Schizosaccharomyces pombe: one gene and its partners. Changing the gene in region 1 together with any one later gene gives a genetic interaction. Each region holds a gene or a part of one and is shown in the gene's direction. Other genes may lie near its edges.

What was found. Genes that interact genetically often act in the same process or in processes that back each other up.
Region 2: mutations in cdc4 (region 1) and pxl1 are lethal when combined (synthetic lethality), as found in Schizosaccharomyces pombe (2 studies listed by BioGRID).
Region 3: mutations in cdc4 (region 1) and acp2 are lethal when combined (synthetic lethality), as found in Schizosaccharomyces pombe (2 studies listed by BioGRID, with this or other methods).

The regions. Positions count from the first base shown.
Region 1 is NC_003424.3:5,325,764-5,333,520, forward strand, and holds cdc4 (myosin II light chain cdc4), read left to right. Parts: upstream 1-3,424; 5' UTR 3,425-3,454; coding exon 3,455-3,485; intron 3,486-3,537; coding exon 3,538-3,669; intron 3,670-3,742; coding exon 3,743-3,883; intron 3,884-3,949; coding exon 3,950-4,042; intron 4,043-4,114; coding exon 4,115-4,143; 3' UTR 4,144-4,755; coding exon of another isoform or gene 4,756-5,016; 3' UTR 5,017-5,061; downstream 5,062-7,757. Other genes in the region: U2 auxiliary factor small subunit Uaf2, read left to right, coding at 1-498; SPOM_SPAP8A3.07C (phospho-2-dehydro-3-deoxyheptonate aldolase), read right to left, coding at 957-2,066, 2,338-2,346; serine/threonine protein phosphatase PP2A scaffold subunit Paa1, read right to left, coding at 4,756-5,016, 5,062-5,399, 5,455-5,555, 5,617-6,520, 6,629-6,734, 6,789-6,836, 6,888-6,902. UniProt on the Schizosaccharomyces pombe protein: Involved in cytokinesis. Required for the formation and function of the contractile ring.
Region 2 is NC_003423.3:2,709,675-2,714,707, forward strand, and holds pxl1 (paxillin-like protein Pxl1), read left to right. Parts: upstream 1-2,493; 5' UTR 2,494-2,837; coding exon 2,838-2,866; intron 2,867-2,922; coding exon 2,923-4,210; 3' UTR 4,211-4,533; downstream 4,534-5,033. Other genes in the region: asn2 (asparagine synthase), read right to left, coding at 174-1,820; erb1 (WD repeat/BOP1NT protein), read right to left, coding at 4,750-5,033.
Region 3 is NC_003424.3:2,103,530-2,107,731, reverse strand, and holds acp2 (F-actin-capping protein beta subunit acp2), read left to right. Parts: upstream 1-2,298; 5' UTR 2,299-2,482; coding exon 2,483-2,488; exon of another isoform or gene 2,489-2,685; coding exon 2,686-3,082; intron 3,083-3,131; coding exon 3,132-3,535; 3' UTR 3,536-3,702; downstream 3,703-4,202. Other genes in the region: protein Atg14, read right to left, coding at 3,778-4,202. UniProt on the Schizosaccharomyces pombe protein: F-actin-capping proteins bind in a Ca(2+)-independent manner to the fast growing ends of actin filaments (barbed end) thereby blocking the exchange of subunits at these ends.

The DNA.
Region 1 (7,757 bases):
TATAAAAACCCAATTCATGAACCAAATGGCAAAAAGTTCACGCAGCGTGAACTTGCAGAACAATTTGATGCATTCTACGAGGACATGTTTTGTGAGTTTTCAAAATACGGTGAAGTTGAACAATTAGTCGTCTGTGACAATGTTGGAGATCACTTAGTCGGAAATGTTTATGTAAGATTCAAGTATGAAGAGTCTGCCCAAAATGCTATTGATGATTTAAATTCCCGATGGTATTCCCAAAGACCAGTCTACGCCGAGTTATCTCCTGTAACTGATTTTCGCGAGGCATGTTGCCGGCAACACGAAACTTCGGAATGTCAGCGGGGTGGCCTTTGTAATTTTATGCATGCCAAAAAACCAAGTCCTCAGCTTTTACGCGATTTGGTACTAGCACAAAGAAAGTATTTGGCCTTAAATGCAGCAGAAGAAATGAAAAAGGAGCCCAATAGTGATTCCACGAATCGATGGGTCAGTGTAACTGCTGAACGCAAAAATTAAATAGCAACTTATGGAATGTATTTGTTTTGGATTCTGGTTTGCTTTTGTACGGTTTTACTTCGTTTATTATGATTAATCTCTGGCTATAGTTTGTTGTGATTTAGGTTATTTAAATAGATGTTGCATTCTTTTATTGTTTACTAATAAACTTGATCTTTGTACAACTGTACTCATAGACGTTTTAAATTTTGTGTCCAATGTGCCTATGGCTGATTACAAGCTAAAGGAGATCGATTAGAAACATATGAAACGATCAAACATTTCGCAAAACTTGCACAGCAATTCTTAAAAACGAAGGTGTTATTGGTAGAAGCTGTGTACGATATAAGAAAAAAAAAACAAAAAAAAATAAATAGAACCCGTATTTAAGCCAAAATTGTTCAGTTGTTGTATGTTACGAAAAAATAAGTTTCAAAAATTAAAAAAATTAAAACTGCTGAATATAACATTTATATGTCTTAATTACTTTTTTGGTTTTGACGGCGAGCACGGACAGCTTCAGCAAGATCGTCTAGCATTGGAGCAGTTTGTTCCCAGCTAACACAAGCATCAGTGATACTGACACCGTACTTGAGAGTATCCTTAACGCCAGGACGGATTGGAGCATCTTGACGACCTTCATTGATATGAGATTCAATCATAACACCAACAATGGAAGAGTCGCCATTTCTGATTTGTTCGGCGATGCTCTTGGAGACCTTTGGTTGGTTCAAATGATTCTTGCTTGAGTTGCCATGAGAGCAATCGATCATGATACGAGGAGGAAGGTTGGCCTTCTCAAGATCTTTGCGAACGGCGGCAACGTGCTCAGCATCATAGTTAGGACCCTTCTTACCACCACGCAAAATGATGAAGGTATCCTTGTTGCCCCTGGTCATGGTAATAGCGGCGAGACCTTGTTTAGTAACTCCTAGCATTGTGTGAGGATGGGCGGTAGCACCAATGGCATCAATCGCCACACCAACAGTACCATCAGTACCATTCTTGAAACCAACAGGGAAGGAAAGGGCAGAAGCCAATTCACGATGTAATTGAGACTCGGTAGTACGAGCACCGATAGCACCAAAACTGAGTAAGTCGGCGAAGAATTGGGGAGAAATGTTGTCCAACATCTCACTGGCCAAAGGAATGCCAAAATTGGTAACGTCGCAATACATTTGACGAGCCATCCTAATACCCTTGTTGATAGCAAAAGAACCATCCAAGTTAGGGTCGTTGACCAAACCCTTCCATCCGATAGTAGTACGGGGCTTCTCCAAATAACAACGCATGACAACGCACAAAGCATCCTGAAGCTCGTCAGCTTTGGGCTTCAGCAACTTAGCATAGTCCATGGCCAATTTAGGGTCATGAATGGAGCAAGGACCGACAACAACGATAATTCTGTCATCTTGTTTGTTGAGAATAGCTTGAATCTCCTTTCTGGAGTCAGTGATGACTTTGCGAGAAGTTTCAGAAACAGGAATCTCTTGTTGAACCAAAGCGGCAGGAACCAAAGGGTTGTAACCTAAGACACGGTTGTCATCAAGATGCTCTTGATCGTAAGTTTCACCGCTGGGTAAAAAAACCTAATTGAATAATGTTAGCAAATTGACATTAAAAAAAAAGACCAAACATGCTGGACATAGCAATCAACATAAAGCAATAAAAATTTCAAAAAAAAGAAACAAAAAAATTTAAAATTTCAATTGCCTAAAAATTCATCAGCAAAAACAAATTTGTTATCCGCATAGTAAAATCTACTATATAACTCAATAAGATAACTTTCAGTACTGTTTCTCCGACTGATGAAAATTTTTACTAGCAAAATTCTTTGGATGCCCAATTGGGGTTACTTACCGGAGACATGGCTTATTAAATAGAATTAATAAATTTAGGTCAAAGAGTGCTTCCTAAGTTGTTGAATGCCAAGTAAGTAAACACTATTAAAGGTCCTTTACTACGACGAAGGTTGGTTCTGTCTGAGTTCGAAGCAGCGCCAACGAAAAATATATGTAGTCCAGTAATAAGATGATCCAGTGATAATGGCTCTAAGTCATCGGAACTGCGAAACAAGTAGTAGGCAATTTCTGGACATCATCGCTTAAAAATTTGTTCAAATTTATAAGTCCTTTGTTTTGTATCAATTTCTAGATTTCACTTGCTATTTAATTACTTGAAAGTAAATTGAAGGTTGAGCGTAAAAACATAAAATAAAGCCTTTTTTCGGTTTCTTATTAATTCATAAATTAATGTTAAAAGGGATTGATATATAATATTTAATAATTACGTTTCCTACAATGTTTACTGTCATGTACCACTGGGATATGAGAATATATACATTGCTTATCAAAATACTTATTTCCAAGATTCGCTCAATTATATAAACCACGCATTAAAGCAACATATAAAAACATATTGATTCGTTTATTTTACTTTTACTCAATGCATATTTTGTGAGCCCGAAAATTTAGATATACCATCTGTGACTGCCTTTTTGGTACACAAACGCCGAAAATTAGAAGTCTGGTGGACAGCGTTGGCTTTCCGGTAGATTAGTCTTTTGAGGTTAACAAGTTAATGATATCTGATATTCTGATGTGATTATTGAATTTATGAAGTGCATCAGTACTGTATTTCTCGTGTTCCGGTGACTCTCGTATTTTGTATTGCACTAGAAATAGTGAAATCGCCAGCCATTTCATAATTTATCAAGTAGCTCGACATTAGTATGACTATTCATATTCTGTATACGAATGATGTTCTAAATTAAAATCTGGCAAAGTAAATGACAATTCTGTTCATATAAGCTGGTTTACATAGCTCTACGTTCTTTAGTAAATTACTAAACAGATCGCTATACAGTAAACATTATCATGGCAACGGTTGCTATGGGGCTTATAGGTGCGTGTACACAGATTACAGTCGACTTAGTACACTTACCTTCATCCTAACAATCCATTTAGAATAGTCAAACATGTCGACAGACGATTCACCTTATAAACAAGGTAATAACTACTTTTTGAAATCATTTCAAAATGTTTATTAACGAAAAGATAGCTTTTTCTTTATTTGACCGCCATGGAACTGGTCGCATCCCCAAAACGTCCATTGGTGATCTTTTAAGAGCGTGTGGACAAAATCCTACGCTGGCTGAGATTACTGAAATTGAATCTACTTTGCCCGCAGAAGGTATGATTTCTTGTTATGGGTTTGGAGAGTTATACTCCTTAGCCGTGCATTAAGTGACAATACTAATTGGTAGTCGATATGGAACAATTCCTTCAAGTGTTAAATCGTCCCAATGGGTTTGATATGCCTGGTGACCCAGAGGAATTCGTGAAGGGCTTCCAGGTGTTTGATAAAGATGCCACTGGCATGATTGGAGTGGGTGAATTGCGCTATGGTATGTATTTATAGAGATCTATCCTTTTTTCAGATTGATAAAAAAATGCGAAACTAATTGTATCAGTTTTAACTTCTTTGGGTGAAAAACTCAGCAACGAAGAAATGGACGAGTTATTAAAGGGTGTTCCCGTAAAAGATGGCATGGTTAATTATCACGGTATGCTCTATTACTACTCTGGGCTTCGGCAATCAACTACCTATACTTAATTATACTAACTGCTTCCTTTAGATTTCGTTCAAATGATTCTTGCCAATTAATTAAATCTACATAGTTTGCATAATTTACCCGGCATATGTTTCTCCTTTATTATTTACACCTTTATTTCAATTTTATGTCTTCAATAGTTTACTTTCGTTCAGCTTTTCCATCTGATACACTTGGGACTATGAAGCAATATGTTCCTGAATACAGATAACTGGACTTTTCGATACTCGCAGGAATTTCTACACATATCGTTTAGCATACGGAAATAGAGATATCCTTCTATATTCGTATATTTATGAATATGATTAACAACCATTTGTTATCTCATGCAAATGACCTTATATCTCAGCTGCTTAAATTGTTTGAATCTCTCCAGATGTAAATATAAGTTTTCATTCAAAATTACACTTTTCGTAAGTAATTACGGTTGATGCCAGCTTTCTTGATGCATTCGGCTCCAATTTTGCCATATCGTGTATATCTTGTATATCTAATTTACTGTGTGTCAATACGATGCTTTGAATTAGATGTAGGGCTTGACACTTGATGTCGAACGAATGGCCAGAGTCAAGACAGTCCATTCTTTTGCATTTTTACATAGTGAACACAAATCATAAAGGTAAAACTTTTGGCTCATTTAGACATGCAATCATATAACCCAACAATTAGTCATTTGTTTGCTCTAAGGCCTGAGTAGCAAAATATTGAACATCAGGGTCATTATCTTTTGTAAGTTGTTCGAGCAATGGGATGATTTGCTGTTCATATACGGTCGAGTCACCACCAGCTGCCAAAACAGGCTTAAGAACTTCAAACGCCTTGGCAACGTTAAAGCGAATATTAGGAATAGGGTCATTAACCAACTGTTCCAAAGTTGGAAGAATTTGTTTTTCAATTACTTCAGCATTCAATGCAGGTGCGATTTCCTAAAATACGTTAGAACTGGAAAAAAGCAAAAAAGAAAAACTTACACTGATCGCAAAAATAGTTGTCATTCGGTATAAATAATTTGGATGGCTTCGCATAGCCAAAAACTTTGGAATAATTGTCTCAGTTGCCCATTCCAACCCAAAAATTTCCGTAAGTTTTCGCAAATTCTTTATCGCAGCTTCACGAATAGAATATACATGGTCCTCTAACCATGACATACATAAATTGCCCATTTTCTCATTAAAAAATTCGACCCCAAGCTGCTGAGCAAGTAGTGGAATGTAGTCAATGATAGCAAGACGAACACGCCATTGTTTATCTTCAGCAAGTGTAACAATTGCAGGCAATAAAGATTGTGAAAGTAATTCGATACCAACGACTAAAGTGAGTTAGTATAACTGTAGCAATAGCTATATTTTGAATTTGCAATTTACCTTTGTTTACAACTTCCAATTTCGAAATAATGTTAAGACGAACTTCAGGGTTTTCATCTTTAAGTAATTCCAAAAACATTGGTAAAAGATACTCTGTAGTCCTAAATATAACGATTAGTAAAATGAGGTTTTTAAAAGAAAAGTTATTTTTAGCAGACATACTTTTCCTTTCCTAATTGTGGGGCGAGAGCACCTATGTTCATCCCTAAAGCAGCACGGACATGTTGAGCGGGATCATTAATTAACTCTTGAATAACTGGAATAATCTCTTCAAGAACAATTCGCTTATCCAACAATTCGCAAAATCCTGGTATTTGAGTAGCAATAGCACGGCGGACTTCCTGCTCGGTATCCTTCATGAGCAGTACGAATGGTTTAATAAGTTCATCTTTAATAAGAGATGGTCCAACTACTTTAGCAAGTTTTACAAAATTAGCAGCAACCATATAACGTGTTCTCCAGCTGCTATCCGAAACAAAAGACCTTAATGGTTGAAGCAAATAGTGACGAATTTCCGAGTCAGATTTTAATACCTCCGCCAAAGAAACCATAATGTCGAAAGAAAGGAGCCGAACTGAGTCTTGGTCATCATTAGAAAGGGAGTTGAACAATGGAATGAATTCGTCAATAGCCTCCTGTTTAGTTACCAAAAAAACAAACTTGGCACAGTTCGTTGCTGCAGGACGACGGACCATGGGAGCTTCGTCGTGACATAGATGACTAAAACTTTGACGAAGAGAGACTTTGACAGCAGGATTTTCTGACTGAGAATATGCCGCGCAGTAAAGCCCAGCAGAGGACGCACGAGAGGTAAACCACTCAGCGGTTGAAAGACGTTGAACCAATGGAACAAAATATTGCTCTAATTGTTCTTGGGATAGGCAAATACATACTTTATTGAGAGAGTCAACGGCTTTATCGCGGACTACCGTTTCTTCAGTTGCAGCAAGATTTTCAAGGGGAGACAAAAGGACATGCGCATACTCAGGGCCTCCAACATAATCTACAAAATTTCCTAACTGGTCGGCGAGAGCTGATAGGACTTCGTCCTCATCGTCAATCGATTCTGTATTCAAGGAATGTTAGCCGACAAACATACATCGTTTATTAAAAAATATAAAGAATTTTAAAAATTTAAACCTATAGTTCCATAATTTTATTATTGAATGCATACCATCTAAAAAGGGAATCAACTCATCCCTTGTACGTTCAGGACCTAAAGCGAGAGCAATTGTCGATAACCGTTCCAAAGCATTGAGCCTATAAGTAATTTCATCATGCTTTAACAATAGTCAGAGTTGAACATATCAGACGTAAAACAATTTGTTACCAACCTTTAACTCATCAATCAAAACAGCAATCGGATACAAATCGTTCACTTGCTATAAATAGTCGTGGTTAATAAATTGTAAAAGAGACATTTTGTAACACACATTCTCTGTTTGCATTTTATATAATAGAACAACTCGTTCTTAGCAAACAAGCAAATAAAGTGGGTAGGAAGTTTTAAACTTTTCGAGGTGAAGAAGGAGTGTGTGTTACAGCGGACGCTACCAAATTGAAACAGTTTTCCAAGCAAGTATCTCAAAGGTTTTCCTTAACATGAATCATTTTGAATAATTCTAAAAAACTATTTTGTGTTTATAATATACTCTGCTTTTCAGAGTTTTGACTGAACATAAATTCCACTTAAATGTTTACATACTGAATTGTCTAGCATCACGAATTCTTTTTATGTCTTCTCTCTTTATTCCTGACCTAATTTAATCTTTGTTTTTGAGAAGTATTGTTTAAGGGATATGGTTTGGAATCACATTTCTACCAATGCTAAAGCTTTTATATGACATCAAACGATTTTGCATGAGTATGTTAATTGATTATTTTTTTGGAAATTTGTATGATAATAAAGGATTCAATTGCCATATTGATGTATCGCAACTGGCTGAATGGTATATTACACAGTCATATTTATTTCAAACTATGAAATTACCCAAAAAACAAAACATAATTAAGTGATTATAGCCATTAAAAAGCTTTTTCCAAACTTCGCATGTTTCAAACCGAAAACTTTCGCTATATTTAATGCAAGAAGATAATTCGGATTTATTAATATTGGAGCTATTGTCGAAATGTTAAGCAAAACTGCTATACACACTTAGTGAGAAAAATTTGATCATTTTTCATTTGTTTACGATACCTTACATAACTGGGGTTTCATTATATTGCAAGTTTATTTCGTCTACCTCAGGATGAATGTGTTGGATTCTCAAATTGAGGTCCTTCAGTTTGGTTCAACAGTTTTT
Region 2 (5,033 bases), on another chromosome or scaffold:
CAATTACGGCTTTAAGAGCTATGTTTCCAGCGTTTGACAGTGAAGTGATTGAAGTTGTGTTAAATGCGCAACAAGGAAGGCTTAGTTCATCTATTGATTCCCTTTTGGAGATGAGTTAACATTTGTAGTTTTATGAAATACTCAAGTATAATTTATTATTATTATTATTATTTTTAAATACAAACTTCTAACTTTTTACGACCTGATGTTCTACCGGTTCCAGGAGTCATCTTTGCTGCTTTAGAACCAAACTGAATAGCCCTCTTTTTTTCTTGACTAGCTAAGGGACAACCTAATCGACGTCCTAATTCACGTAAAATTAGTTTGTCACCTCCAACTAAATCTAGACGCATTTTATCAGTAGTTTTCATTTTGCTAAACAAAGCCATCAGACGCTCATCGAGAAAAGGATAACGCACCTCTTTCCCTTGATTAGACATTACCCTGTCATCTCTGCCCAAGTTACGATGTGGAATACGATCAATGTCCAATTGCAGTTCTTCTTCAAGACCGGCCATACCTTTCCGTTCAAACGCTCGTAGGTGCCGCATATAACCACCGAGCTGCTCATCAGCCCCCAGGCCACTGATGAGGACTTTAGCTTTTATAGTATAGGAAGGTAATTGATGTTTCAGTTTGATATCATCCACGTTTTGTAAAAGTACACCACGCCCTTGTGAAGCAAAATAAAAAGCTAATCCAATAGAAAGATCCATAACTGAATCGTTCGGATAGATAAGTGTTTTGACTATTTCCTGTGCTTCACATACTTCTGTATAAGGAACGTTTATAGCAACAAAATTCCATTTTCGAGCAGGGCAAACTGAAATAAGCTCCTGCCAGCCTTGTAATCCAGTTTGTCTATCAGGACATACGTCGTATGCATCAAAATTGTCAGGAAGAAGTCCCGTCTCTCTGTCACGGTATGTCTCTGTAAATCTTGGGTTTTCAAAAGCCACATTAATTAAATCGATGGACTCGTTATTGGGAACTATGTCGTGCATTAGCCGTGCTAATACACCGCAATCCACTCCCCCAGAGTAAAGAACGCAAACTCGGCTATAATGACTACAGTCAAGGTTTGAAGAGCACAGTTTGGGGATTGTTAAAACTCTATCTTGAAGCGCTTTGATAAGATATGTATGCAATGTGTCCACAGTGTCTGAAGAGATTGAGCCCATGAGAAAGGACTCATCCACAGGAGGAAGAGGGTTTGTTTTTTCCAGTTGCATTAATGATTTAGAGAAGTTAATTTTTGGGATCAAGTCCACCTGCACACTATGAAACCCAGGCTCAACTTCTCGGAAATCACTAGAATTTCCTACACTTGAGAGAACGAAATTACTATCTCGTAAACTATACAAAAGGGATCTTCTTCCTAAGCGATCTCTTCCCCACCACAATGTGTTTGTACGAACTTGGTAGTAAACAAAAGCAAAAGGTCCTTGAATACTTCCCAAAATTTTTTCAATGTCGCCCGGGTTATTGTTTAAAAGTTCAAAAAGTTTTGCACCGTCGTTTTCATTACGATTGAGCGTAAATTTGTGATGATCGCTATGGTTTATTTGCCAAATTTCTCCATTCCAACACAAAACGTTTCCAAAACTGTCAACATGAGGTTGAGGCGTTAAATGATCAGAAGGGCCACGTAAATGCAAAACGCTTGACTCAAAGTGCAAATTCCAAGGTCCGCTATTCAATTTATGCTTACCAAAAAAATCAGGTCCTCTAGCCCGAATCCTTTTTCGTAAAGCTGAAAAAGATGGACTTTCAAGAAGATTATCTCTGTCTTCCGCTAAGGCGAAAAGAATTCCGCACATAAACTATTCTCAAACACTTTTGCTTCTAACAAATCTACAGTCAAAAAAGTGTTTTTTCCTTTAACGACGTTTGTGTGGTACAGTGTGATCGTAATTTTATATACAATATCATTTTGCGACACATTGCAACGCTTATAAGTAACTACACACTGAACAGACTCACGGGTCTACATATTTTTTCTTATACAATTATACTTACAACTGGTAAAGAATTTTCTTAGGTCAATCTGTAGCTTGAAAGCCAAAATTAGGTTTCTATTTATGAAACAATAAGCGAAATGCTGTATGCCTGACAAAGCATAATGGGGTAGTTAATGACATTTAAAGAGCTGTAACAATACAGTAAGCATTAATAACGCGCTCCACAATAATCTACTGCCAAAGTATAAAAAAAATAAATTATAAAAAGATATTGTACCATATTATGAAATCGCAACATATAAAATTGTCCAACAAATAACATTGATTTCGTTTGGAACATTTTCTGCATAGGAATGGCTTAATTCACTTTAATTACTAATATATTCGCATTTTTTTACTTTCTGCTGGTATACAAACATTGAATACGTACTCTCTAAGTATTCGTTAAAGGTACAATGTTACCTATTATGAGGCTGGTTTCTATAACAACGAATGTTTGTTTATATTTTGGAATATACACTTAAACAAAGCCAACACTTATTAGCTAAAACACTTTGGATAAAGCAAATATTACTGCTTTCTAAATAATAACTACTTGCTTACAATTGCATTTTTTTAATACAGCTAGTTTTTTTGGGGGACTCCGCTCTTTGAGATATATATCCTTACGTTGGCAACAATTTTCTATAAGTTAATCCCAGCTTGATTTTTGTTTTTCCTTCCTTATCCTTCTCTTCCTATTTTTTATCTTGTTTTTAAGTGTTGCGGCTAGATTTATACCCTGCGAGCTTGGCTATCCTGATTTCTTAAGGTTGTCAACGATCCTGAATTCTTTCCGTTGATTAGTGTCCTGATAGTTGAGAAGCATATCAGCAAATGCATTCACCAATTCCAGAATTACCAAGGTAATCTATTGTCTTATTGTTATTACCCAATTAGGTATCTAACTTCGTTTTTGTAGATTTGAACGTCGATTGACTGGTCCTCGTGCTGCTCCTTCTTCGCCGGTCTCTACTAATGGCTCCCCGCTAAACAATTTAGTTCGTTCTCGGTTATCTGATGGAGCACTTAACTTTACTGGAGGTCGAATAGCTACACCATTACCGCAACCAAGTTTGAAGACTCCTGAATCTCCTTTGTCCAAGAGGAATCCAACAATAAAACAAAATCGTGTACGTTTTGATCTGCCTGATGACGAGCTCTCTCGTTCTAATGTTTCGTCGCCGGAAAAAACACTACTAACCTCTGCTTCTACTTCTACTTTCGATAGCTTAAAAAAGGAGCTTTTACCTGAATTGCCATCTCTTGCATACAGTGACGACGATGAGTTTCCTAGTTCGCCGGAGGAATTGAATTCACATGTTAATTATCCAGACGTACGAAATGTTTACGATTGTCATACCGGTTTACAGCCGCTTGTTGATCATGATTGCATTGAAGACAGACAAAAAACCTTCGCATCCAAACAACTTCCTACTCTTCCTTTACAGAAATCCAGTAAACTTTCCAATCGTAGACCCGCTTTGCATTCTTTTCATTCTGCTCCTGCTAATAGCTTATATCCTTTGCCCACCCCCACTTCACAATTGCCTAGCAACTTGTCCTCAAATAATTTATTTCAATCAGATTCACTTAAGCCTTCAATGGTATCTTCTCATACATCTACAAAACCAGTTCTTTATAGAGGCAATTCTGAAAAATCCTGTCATAGTTGCGGCGGTTCTTTACGCGCTGGCAGAATAATTAGTGCTTCAGGAAAGAAATTACACCCTCAATGCTTCAAATGCGATACTTGTTCCCAGAACTTAGAGCACGTTGGATTTTATTACCGCGAGGGAAAATTTTATTGTCATCTAGACTATCATGAACAGTTCAGTCCTCGCTGTAAGCACTGCAAAACCCCAATTGAAGACCAAGCGGTCCATATCAACAATGATTGGTTTCATGAAAATCATCATTTTTGCGCTGGTTGCTCTGAAGTTTTTAATGTAAATATACCCTGTATTTACCGTGACGACCTATACTGGTGTCAGACTTGTTATGATAATAAGTATGCTGTTAAGTGCAAGAAATGCCGTAAACCCATTTTGGGGATCAGTGTAAAAGGGTCTGATGGTGAATATCATAGCCAATGTTGGACCTGCGGAGCTTGTAATGCCCTACTTGGAGATGAGGGTTATTTTATGATAGAAAATACCCCTATTTGCCGTCCTTGCAAGGCGATATCAGTCAAGTTTAATTTGGATTAACTCAGACTTACTCATCACTTTCTTTTTCTTTTTTTTTTGTTATTTTTTCACTTCTTTCATCGATTTTAGCTTTATAAGGAAAGCTGTCTTGGAAATCTTGGAGATTTTAAATCATTTCATTTAATCCACAAAGTCCAGCATGTTTACTTGCATTTAAACTTGCTGTATTTTTATAATTAAGCAATTAATGATTAGGTAACTATAGATATATAAAAAGCACTATTGAATTTCAACGGTTACGATTTTTGATATCACGTAATACTTAAATACTTTAGATAACTTACCAAAAAATAAAAAATAAAAACATATTCAGTTTGCACAAATGCATTTTAAACTTTCGAAAACCCCTATATTCCTATTAAATATCCAAAATCAAGTACGAAAACAATCTTTTCGACTTGTTAGCAAAACTATAATACAGCATTGAAAAAGTATCTTTTGCAGTAAACACTACCAAACATTATTTTTAAAAGTAGAGTTTTTCTAAATTTTAAAGCAAGTGAAGAAAACAAAAATATTTAAGACGTTTCAAACCTTTTTCAAGTCCACATCCGAATTTCTCCACCAGCACCTGCACTGAATAACCAGGCTTCTTTTGGATGCCAGCATGTGGATAAAACACCGACATTATCAACCACTTTATGATTCCGCAAAATCTTAAGAGGAACAATCAAGGGATTAGCCAGAAGGTCACTGTAAACACGACCGTGGAACACTTGAACATCACCATCATCAGAGCCAGAGCAAAATAGTGGAAGGGAAGGATGATATGAGACATCGCGAAGAGCACGTGAATGATATCGAAGATTTTTATATGGTTTAG
Region 3 (4,202 bases), 3.2 Mb from region 1:
AAGGAACTACGATAAAAAAAGGCGTAGGTAACATTGTCAAACGGAACACGAGATATTAACAAAAGAGGAACAATAGCACCACCTTTCCACAGTCTACAATATAATGGTGGTAGACGCGTCGCAACACAGAAAAGAAACGTATCTTTGGCAAAACAAAAAAAAAATTTTAAAGTCAGTTCCTTTCAATGAAGAGACTACCAATTCCAATTTTTTAACCTTTAGGATAAAAAAGCGACAATTCTAACAAACTTCGACAAACCATATCAAAATCCTAAATCACCAGCAAAAAATCCAAATTAAGAGTTGGACTGCCCTCACTGCCTCACCCACTTCACCTGTCATAAACACAAACAAAACTACTTACAAAACAAAATTGCCACGTTGACGTATAAGCTACAGCAATCAACACAGCAACACTGAATATCAAATTGCTAATAGTACACAAAAACAAGAATGAACAAAATTAATGCCGGCTAACCTTCACAACACACGCGCGCATAAACTGCCTATTACACTAAAACAAGCAATATGCAATATTTACTTCGTTGTATAGCGCCAAACAATAACAGATAGCACAAATGACTTAAGATTTATAGCGACTTGGCTTCAAAGGGACAAAAAAGTAGTGCCCTATAACAAATTAACGATTAATAACGATATCGAACTCTTCCGCGCGACTAGCAATTTCAAGAGTCGAACCGAGGAAAAATGTGGTTTGCAGAGGGAAGGAGGAAACATGTTGGTATAAGTCACCGTTGTCCTCAGGGTTAGGGTTTTGATGTGAATCAACATTGCGGCGGATGAACGATTAGATGATAATTTCAATGGAGGGCGACTGACCAATTATCTTTCTCCTACGTCACCACTGGCTAAAGCTATCAGGCGCAACGCAAATCGCGGGGTGTTATTGTAAACAAACAAAACCAAAAAATTCGGCCAAACTATGTGTTCTGCAAGTAAACAACTTAATAATAATACAATTAAAAGATAAATGATCAACAATAATTGCAGGTTAACTTCTTACAAAATTTCGATAAAAGTTTCAAACCCACAAAGCACATTTTCTGTTTTAAGTGTTTGTAATCACACACTCACTGCTACAACAACAGTAATTACAGCCTTTGTCAAGACAATAAACAGATAGAAATACGGAAAAGTGCAATTATCCAATGTAATCCTCCAATGTACTGACAAAAAGGTTCAATCCAGTTTAAGCAAGGTTAGAAATGTTTGTTTACACAATTGGTTTCAGCCGTGCGCTAGTAGTCTTAGTATGGCCAAACATACGAAAAAAGTTAGAATGCAAGATTCGAACTCGGGATTTCAAGAACTCCGAACGGGACAAAGAATCTTATGGAACGGAATGGAATCATTTCTCGGTCATTTGAGAAACCGTCCTACAATCTGATTGGTTAAAAGGACCACACCATGAAAAAACCCATGTGATTTTTGCGAATCAGAAATCGGTGAGAGATGGGAGTTGAACGCTTGTACATAATTACGTGACAGTGGCAAAATCTAGGCTCTCCCAAAATTTTTGATCACAGTTAATGTTCCGCAAATTTTTAGAACGTTGAGTCGCGCTATTCCATTTGAAAACCGTTTAACAAAACAAATTAAATGTTCTTTATTTCTAAGGAACGCAGTTTGAAGATATACGAACACTAAATTCGTAAGTTGTCATACTGCATAACGACAGTAAAACGTTATTAAAGGTTGAGTGGATGCTAAAACAGAAGGTGAGATGTAGATAAAGATCAAAAAGCAGTTAAACAATGCATTTGTTAAGGTTATAAACATAAGAATAGATTTTAAAAGATCCATAGTTTAAATAAAATGAAAGACCATTGCTTAAAATGAAAGAAGGACGTTTGTTATTGACTTTTTTATGACTTTACATGGTTTGACTCGTAGAAAATCCAAACTTTAGATAGAAAGCGATTCAAGCATTGACTTTGGCATATAATTCTCCTTGTTTCTGTATTAAGGAATTTAACCGATATACAGAAAAGTTTTGTATTCGTTGCCAATACTAAATTTAACTTGAAAATGTTCAATATTGAAAAATAGACAGCTTATTGAAGTGACCAACAGTAGCATCTAATAAATTCTTGACTTTTTCCGCTTGAACAAAATGTGCTCTTCTTTTGATTATTTTTAACAGCTCATTGATATTACCAGTTTGATTATAAAGTAAGTTTGAGGTTGGTTTTTGCTACGTTGTCATCACCAGAGGGTTCATCGTTCAATGTTCACCGCCATATGTTGTTCACTTTCTAAACTTACGCAGAAAGCACCAGAGTACAAGTACCTCACCACCAGTCAGTCACCTCTACTATTTGTGTACTGCACCGTGAAGAATCTTCGTAATTTATGCGACGAATCTAAAGTTACTTCCTATAATCATTAAGGCCTCACTTTTATTCTGAGATCGCTATCCGGTTGTATTCTTTTGTTTAAAGCATTATATCATCAACTCACCATGAATGTAAGTATTACTGAAATTAATTACCTTGCCCAATTTTTTTGTTATATTTTTATTATATAGCCATCTGTAAATTCATCTTATCATTGAATGCATATTTCATCGATTTTCGTCAGTATTGCTCAGAGACTTTATGAATTTGCTTTTCACATTCTTTGTCGTTATCCTTCTTTACAATATCAGCTAACTTATTCTTTTAGTCTGAAGACGCTGCATTAGATTTACTCCGACGATTAAACCCAAAAGATATCTCTAAAAACCTAGACACAATTCTTTCCGTCGCTCCCGATTTAGCTGATGTCCTTCTCTCGTCTGTTGATCAGCCTCTAAAAGTAAATACTTGTTCTGAGTCAGGTAATCAATATTTGTTATGTGACTTTAACAGGGATGGAGATTCGTACCGCTCACCATGGAGCAATAAATATGATCCTCCTTTGGAGGATGGTTTAGTTTCTACTGATCGAGTTCGTAAATTAGAAGTTTCTTTGAATGAAGCAATCCGTGTCTATCTTGATCTTTATTACGAGGGCGGTGTTAGTAGCGTTTATCTTTGGGACCAAGACGATAGTTACGCAGGCGCCGTTCTCATAAAAAAGGGTATTTTTATTTTCTGTCAATTTCATTATATAATTCTAACTTCATTTAGCTTCTACTTCTAACTCAAGCGGATGGGATTCTATTCACGTGTTTGAATGTCTGCCTACCACGGAAACCAACGTTTATGATTACCGACTTACAAGTACTATTATCCTTTTCCTTTCATCTGGCTCGGAGGAACAGTCTGCCTTGCCTTCCAAAGCTCTTAACCTTTCAGGTCATTTGACTCGCCAAACTTCTCAACGATTACCAGCGGCAGATGATGACACTGAGATCGCTAATGTTGGCAAATTGGTTGAGGAAATGGAAACTCGGATGCGCAACTTCCTCCAGGATGTCTACTTTGGAAAAACTAAAGATATCATCAACCAGACTCGTTCCATTCAACCCGTTTCCGATGCCCAACCAAATGATTCGGCTTTGCGTTCAGTTTTAAACGATCTTTCCATTTAGGATTGCTTTTTGTTTTCTTTCCGTGATCTTCTCATAGTATTCGTTCCATCTTCAACGAAAATAGTCATAGAAAGATTGACTAATATAAATAAATACACCGATAATCTAATTTTTTTACAACAGTTTTAAAAGAAATTATTGAATTTAATTGTTCAGTAAAAAAGTTTATATAAATAGCATTAAAAAATATACGTTAAGAGACTTTATAAGAAAGCTGTTAATCGAAGATCATGTAAAAAAGGTCATGAAATAAGCTGATATGGTTTAGACGAGGAACGTGATCGAAGAGAGGAGTAATTTATTGGAATTGGAAGACGCGCCAGGTATAATCGGTGAAAAAGGTCAAAATCCATACCCATCTTGTAATGCCAATCTGGCTTTTGAGAAGTTAGCGGCTTGGTACGTAGCTGAACTAACCAGAAACCAGTATACTGCATTAACTCAAAAAGCTGGGATTGGGTAATTCCACGGGGAAACGAAAAAATGCCACAGTTCCATGAAATCCAAACTATGTTATACATTATATACAACATTTGTTCCGATGAAAATGAAGTCATGGGTTTTTGATCAGGCGAAGGGAGTTGAAGCGGGCATGGTAAGGGAATACTGGTATACTGAGCTAAAAATATACAAATAAAGGATAAAGTTAAAGCACAATCAGGATTTA